Linked DNA regions of Kluyveromyces lactis. The protein of the gene in region 2 purifies or fractionates together with the protein of the main gene of each other region. This does not show direct contact. Links are inferred from orthologs where the notes say so. Each region holds a gene or a part of one and is shown on either strand. Other genes may lie near its edges.

What was found. Proteins that work in one complex are often made in the same cells at the same time.
Region 1: the proteins of KLLA0_A02761g (region 2) and PAB1 purify together in Saccharomyces cerevisiae (affinity purification with mass spectrometry; 3 studies listed by BioGRID). This does not show direct contact. The link is inferred for Kluyveromyces lactis from reciprocal best matches to the Saccharomyces cerevisiae genes YGR054W and PAB1.

What each region holds. Positions count from the first base shown.
Region 1 is NC_006039.1:1,551,849-1,555,600, forward strand, and holds PAB1 (polyadenylate-binding protein), read left to right. Parts: upstream 1-1,473; coding exon 1,474-3,252; downstream 3,253-3,752. Other genes in the region: chromatin-remodeling ATPase CHD1, read left to right, coding at 1-619. UniProt on the Saccharomyces cerevisiae protein: Binds the poly(A) tail of mRNA. Appears to be an important mediator of the multiple roles of the poly(A) tail in mRNA biogenesis, stability and translation.
Region 2 is NC_006037.1:246,657-250,128, reverse strand, and holds KLLA0_A02761g (translation initiation factor 2A), read right to left. Parts: upstream 2,259-3,472; coding exon 501-2,258; downstream 1-500. Other genes in the region: MCO32 (Mco32p), read left to right, coding at 2,874-3,472. UniProt on the Saccharomyces cerevisiae protein: Functions in the early steps of protein synthesis of a small number of specific mRNAs. Acts by directing the binding of methionyl-tRNAi to 40S ribosomal subunits.

The DNA of each region.
Region 1 (3,752 bases), on a different chromosome or scaffold from region 2:
TGCCGGCTCTTCGTCAACCGGAACCACGACGCCTCAGCAAAACAAACGTAAACCAAAGAAGTCTGCTACTACTGCTGGGAACAGCAATGGGAACGAAAATGCCCATACCGCTGGTACCCCAAGTGACGGCAATAGTGTTAACTTAACCGGCAAGGACTCTACACCAGACAATAGCTCCGAAACAAAGCGTGGCAAGGCCCATCACCATCAACAACCATCATCAAGATCTGGTACGCCTGTCGTCGGATCGAAAAAACAGCAGAGGAAAGGTAAAGACATACCGTTGGCACCAAAAGCCGATATCCGTCTTCCTGACAAAGAATACGACAGTATGGACGAAGAAGAGTGTAAGAAAACGATGACAAACGTCCGTAGCTCACTCAAACGTCTAAGATCTGGAGGAGACGGTCTTGAACGTAAGCAATGGGCTAACCTATTGAAGAAGGAATTGAAACGTGTTGGTGACTACATCGAATCGCACAAGAAGGACTCGTCTAAGACCTCTCCAGAAAAATATAAAAGACATTTATGGTCTTTCACTGCATATTACTGGCCAAGAGATGTCCCATCTTCCAAACTCCTGGCGATGTACGACAAAATCAAAGCCTCTGAACATTAATTAGTCAAATGTAACAAAACATAGAGATATATACGCCTATCAATTTACGAAAAAAAAAAAGATATCTAATCAACAACATATTGCTATTAGTTATTATTACCTTCATAAATGACATGAGGCACAAGGGCGCACCAGAAACAGCCGGCTGCTAGTAAAATACCTGGTTTGTTGTGGTGATGCCTCAGATCATTTCGCACGTACCTACCTTTCCTTTTGTGGAAAAGCTTTAAACTCTTTTTCAACTCTTTAAATTTTTCAATGAAAATTTTCACTTTTTGGCTAACTCATCACAACAATTAAGGACTGTTCTCACAGAGATGGATGAATTATATAACGATTTTAAATAAGTTCTTGTGATGTTGTTTCATTTATTTAATTTGTTATAAGTTTTTAGTTATCTTGGTTAGTTTATACTGTTTCGTTTGTTACTTATTTGTATTACCTTTCTGGTTCAGTTATTGTAACATTTTATTTTGTGCAATTTGTTTGTTTAAAAAGACCACGGTCAAAGTCAGCAAACTCTCTAAAGGTATCATCTGTATCCTGTATTTTAATTGTTTTTGGTAAAAGAAAAGAATAAGCGTGGTTTATATCTTTTTAATATTAGTCAAAACATTCCAGTTAGAAGTCTTTTTGAATTCAAGTTAACTAAGGGTTTTTCATTTCCATCCATCGTTAAATCAAAACTTAATAGTTTCATCAAAGGTTCGCAACTGTGTGGGTATTAAACAAAACAATACACTAAAATACACATTAAAAAACCATAAAAAAACATATATTTTAAAAACACATTACAAAACCAACCAACCGCCATCTTTTTCGGTTAAATTTATCTCATCTCATCTCATCTCATAATGTCTGATATTACTGAAAAAACTGCTGAGCAATTGGAAAACTTGCAGATCAACGATGATCAGCAACCAGCTCAATCTGCCAGTGCTCCATCCACTTCTGCTTCTGAAAGCGAAGCTTCTTCTGTTTCTAAGGTTGAAAACAACAACGCTTCATTGTACGTTGGTGAATTGGATCCAAACATTACTGAAGCATTGTTGTACGATGTGTTTTCACCATTGGGTCCAATTTCCTCGATCCGTGTTTGTCGTGATGCCGTCACCAAGGCTTCGTTAGGTTACGCTTACGTTAACTATACTGATTACGAAGCTGGTAAGAAAGCTATTCAAGAATTGAACTATGCTGAAATCAACGGTAGACCATGTAGAATTATGTGGTCCGAACGTGACCCAGCTATCAGAAAGAAGGGTTCTGGTAACATTTTCATCAAGAACTTGCACCCAGCCATTGACAACAAGGCTTTGCATGAAACTTTCTCCACTTTCGGTGAAGTCTTGTCTTGTAAAGTTGCTTTAGATGAGAATGGAAACTCTAGAGGCTTCGGTTTCGTTCATTTCAAGGAAGAATCCGATGCTAAGGATGCTATTGAAGCCGTCAACGGTATGTTGATGAACGGTTTGGAAGTTTACGTTGCCATGCACGTTCCAAAGAAGGACCGTATCTCCAAGTTGGAAGAAGCCAAGGCTAACTTCACCAACATTTACGTCAAGAACATTGACGTTGAAACCACTGACGAAGAGTTCGAACAGTTGTTCTCCCAATACGGTGAAATTGTCTCTGCTGCTTTGGAAAAGGATGCTGAGGGTAAGCCAAAGGGTTTCGGTTTCGTTAACTTTGTTGACCACAACGCCGCTGCCAAGGCCGTTGAAGAGTTGAACGGTAAGGAATTCAAGTCTCAAGCTTTGTACGTTGGCAGAGCTCAAAAGAAGTACGAACGTGCTGAAGAATTGAAGAAACAATACGAACAATACCGTTTGGAAAAATTGGCTAAGTTCCAAGGTGTTAACTTGTTCATCAAGAACTTGGACGATTCCATCGATGACGAAAAATTGAAGGAAGAATTCGCCCCATACGGTACCATCACCTCTGCTAGAGTCATGAGAGACCAAGAGGGTAACTCTAAGGGTTTCGGTTTCGTTTGTTTCTCTTCTCCAGAAGAAGCTACCAAGGCTATGACCGAAAAGAACCAACAAATTGTTGCCGGTAAGCCATTGTACGTTGCCATTGCTCAAAGAAAGGATGTCAGAAGATCCCAATTGGCTCAACAAATTCAAGCCAGAAACCAAATCAGATTCCAACAACAGCAACAACAACAAGCTGCTGCCGCTGCTGCTGGTATGCCAGGCCAATACATGCCACAAATGTTCTATGGTGTTATGGCCCCAAGAGGTTTCCCAGGTCCAAACCCAGGTATGAACGGCCCAATGGGTGCCGGTATTCCAAAGAACGGTATGGTCCCACCACCACAACAATTTGCTGGTAGACCAAACGGTCCAATGTACCAAGGTATGCCACCTCAAAACCAATTCCCAAGACACCAACAACAACACTACATCCAACAACAAAAGCAAAGACAAGCCTTGGGTGAACAATTGTACAAGAAGGTCAGTGCCAAGATTGACGACGAAAACGCCGCTGGTAAGATCACCGGTATGATCTTGGATCTACCACCACAGCAAGTCATCCAATTGTTGGACAACGACGAACAATTTGAACAGCAATTCCAAGAAGCCTTAGCTGCTTACGAAAACTTCAAGAAGGAACAAGAAGCTCAAGCTTAAACTTGATTTTTTGACCTTGATCTTCATCTTGTCCTTTCTATATCTTTCCCCCGAAGAAAAAGAAAAATTAAAAAAAAAAACGAACAGCTAACTATATGAATAGTCTCAGCTTCACGCATTGGAACTGGGTGGTGCTAATTAGCTTACGCATTGTTATAGACCTAAACTAGTCGAAATAAACTACTTTCTGCCACTCTTCTTTTTCTCTCGCTTTTTTTTTTTTTGTTCATCACAGGCTTTCCATTGTTGCCAAAAATGTTGTGCTTTTAATCTTTACCAATAAAAAAAATTACCACGCTCCACATATACCATATTACCACAATCCATCACATCACTCTACCCTTTCTCCATACCGCTAATTCAATCCGGAGGTATGCCCCATTTTTCTCTTCAAATTTTTTCTTACTGATTTTTTCTATCTAACTATTATTGTTACTCTACCCGTTTTATATAATACTAAAGCTCTAATGGGAGGACATTAGTAGTCTTTTTAATGAAGA
Region 2 (3,472 bases):
TAGTATCATTTGTCGAAATAGGTGCCTGAATGGAGAAGCCACATAGCATGGGGCACGCTTTCACGTATGGAGAATAATTCCCAAGACAGTGATGTTCTTTGGCAACAATTGCCCCTGATGGTCTTTTCAAATCACCGGATGGAATAAGTTGACGGTTGCGTAGTGTAGAGGTTATCACCGTGGATTCTGAGAAGTTGCTTCGAGAGAAGTACAAGTCCCGAATATTCCATTAACCCCGGTTCGAATCCGGGCGCGACCATTCTTTTTGGTTGAATTTCAAACTTTTTTTGTCCGAATGGCGTGCATGTCTAATAAAGTAAAAGGCGTTACTATAAATGATTATGAAAGGGTTGACAGTGCTTTATTAACTATCGTGGCTTTGTTATATCTCTGATATGTAGGTTATATTCCAATACATCCAACTTGTAATAAATGAGAATGTAGGTGTATATTTTAATGGATCCGGAGATAATATTTTCATGGGGTTCTGGTATTTTCTCTCATGAATCTAACTCTCCCTTCCAACCAAGTAATTCCAACTCTTTTAAGATCTTAGGTTCTGATTGGATTTTTGTGACCTGGGTGTTTTCTAACTTGACACCTTCGGTTTGTTTTACTTTGAGTGACTCAATGGCTCTTAATTTCTTCAACAAAGATCTGATTTTCTTTTCTTCTGGTGAAGTTTGACTTGCAGCAGATTGTTGAAGGGGCGGCGTTGGAGTTGATTGTGGTGCTCTAGTTTTAGTGGTTCCAGGTACTACAGTTGCTTTTCTAGCATGTGGGGGTTTGTAGGCTCCAGTGGTTTTCTTGGCGCCTAAATTAGTTGATGACTTGTTTGGGTTCTTCAAGTTGAACTGAGTGACCACTGGATGTATTTCTAGCTGATGCTTTCTAATCTTTGGATCTTGTTTCAATTCCTCGTCCTTCAATTTGTTACCGTTGGTAACATACCCATCCTTGATTATTCTGAAAGGACAATTCGTTCTCCAATCCACTTTCAAAAGCTCTTTGTATTCTTTAACGAACACCAAGGTACCAGAATAATGCCAGATTTTCAATCCATTGTCCACTCTCAATCTTGGAGAAGTGGTTGCTGTTAAGATGAACTCGCCGCCTGGAGACCATTTGCAGACAGAAGTGTTTGTAGCGCTAAATTTACTGATGCATCTAAATTTATCATGTCTATCCAAAATATCCACAGAGCCTTGCAAGTTACCGAAACCACCAACAAGGATGTATTTACCATTTGGCGAAAATTCTAATGTGTTTTTCCTTTGTTCGTTTAAAGAATGGATGGCGTTGCCCTTAAGATCAAAGAATGTGATAGTGGCTGGCATGAATCCGTAAATGACACCAAATTGTCTCGAAGTTGGAGACCAGTTGAAATCATGAATTGGTCCTTCTTTACCAAGGGATACACGGACTGATTCGCCACCCAATGCACCATTGACACCTTGGAATGACAATAAGTACAGGTTATTTTCACCGTAGTAGGACTTATTAGAATGATCGAAATCAGTGGTGGTTAGGCATAATATGGCATTACCTAAATCACTCCATTTTAAATGGCATGAATCTGCTTTGAAAAATTGTTTGGTGACAATTTGTTTGGTAATCTTACCAGTGGTAATGGGCCAAATGGTTAATTGTGCAGGTTTTCCTGACTTTTCCTTTGTGAACGTGCAAATAGTTGGATGTTCAGCCGGAGATATTTGATAGGTGGTGAATGGTTGGTCTGGAGTCAAAGTGGCAAATGGCTTGTCAAACTTGAATGTGTCTTCACCACTTAACTTGATGATGCGAAGTTCCTTACCAAATGACTTGATGGCATAGTCATCCAACTTAGAGAATTGTAAAGTCCAAGAACTTTGGGTCGATGCTTTATAACTGTATTTTGGTTCTGTAGACAATGGTGACTCATTCAAGTTCCAAATCTTACAATTTAGGTGTTCTGTGTCGTCTACTAAAGGTCTTTCCCAAGTAGACAAAAAGTTCCCACTTGGAGAAAATTTTAGGTCATAAACGTTCTTTAACGGTAATTCCACCAATGTGATTTCCCAGGTTTCACCGATTAACAGTACAACTTTACTCTCGTACGATTTAGCCATGAATCTACCGCATGGAGACAAAAGAGATTGAATCACTTTACCTTCAGTACCATCGTTTCCGCTCTTAGATGAGGAAATCTCCTCAAATGATGGGTATCCTTGGAAGACTTCCACGGTGGAGTTAGTCTTAGCAAACAACTGGAACGACATGAGCCAAACCTATGTAACTTATTGAGTCTTTCTCGCCTTGGTTGCTAAAATGCTTAAGATTGATTTAAATAGATCTCTAAACCAAAGAATGAATGAATGATGTGAGAGGCACTTTTTTAATAGTTTTCTCAATCAATTGAAGCTCTCTTAAAAATTAATGGATGGCTTAATGACTTAAGTAATAATTTGCGCCAAATTAGCGAAATAGCAGGCCTTGCACACCTATTTATCTCCAACCAAACGCAAACACTATCGAAACAATTAGATATCGATGATTATATCTTTAGAGTGAAAGAAAGCCTTCAAGTTGAAAAGTTCGAAGAGGAAGAAGCGAAAAAAAAAAATTGATATGACATGTGTATGTCAGGGTAACGAGACTTTTCTCAACATTTGGCATGGGGATAAATATCGTGATGATCAAATCTGCTTAAAGCAAATGTAATAGATCCGAATGGTACATTAGACATTGGGTTAACATAGTTAATATTTGCCTAATATATTGAAAGTTTTGGGTACTGATAGAATAACACCTTACCGTAATAGCTTAAGATTTAATTTGCATGCGTTTAACGATAAAATTTACGAGATTTGTCCATTAGTTTAATTATTATATCGATGAGCACAACAATAAGAAGATTAGGATTTCTGCGGTCTGTGCGGCGGTACAGTGGGACCTCTGGGTGTGCTGATATTGGTAACAATGGAAAGATGAGTACTGAAAATATCCGTCGTGTGAATTTGGGATGTACGATAACATACTTGCAGTCAAATGTCCCACATCTTCTACAAACTTCTTTACATGAACCGAGACTAAGCAAAGACATAGAGTTGAAGATTATGCCTATTACCCATCCGTACTTGCCAAGCTTCTCCGGAATAACGAAGTATTATGCTGTCTGGAATAGCATACGGTTCTTATTGAACACTTTTGCATTCTCAGTTGAAAACAGGGTACGTATTAAAAGCCTTGACGTTGAGAAGCATGAAGTAATTATGAGATGGGAAACCCATCCCTTGGCTGCAGATAATCTAGGGAGTATCAAGAAAGCTGAGTCAGAGACGAAAATTTCAGGGATCTTTATCTTTGGTTTGAATGAGAACTGTGATAAGATTACGAGTCATCTAATAGATGATGTCGAAATAATCGAAAAAGATAAAAAGATAGATTTTAGTTCAAAGGTTCAAAATGGTGCAATCGCCTACTTCAAGACATG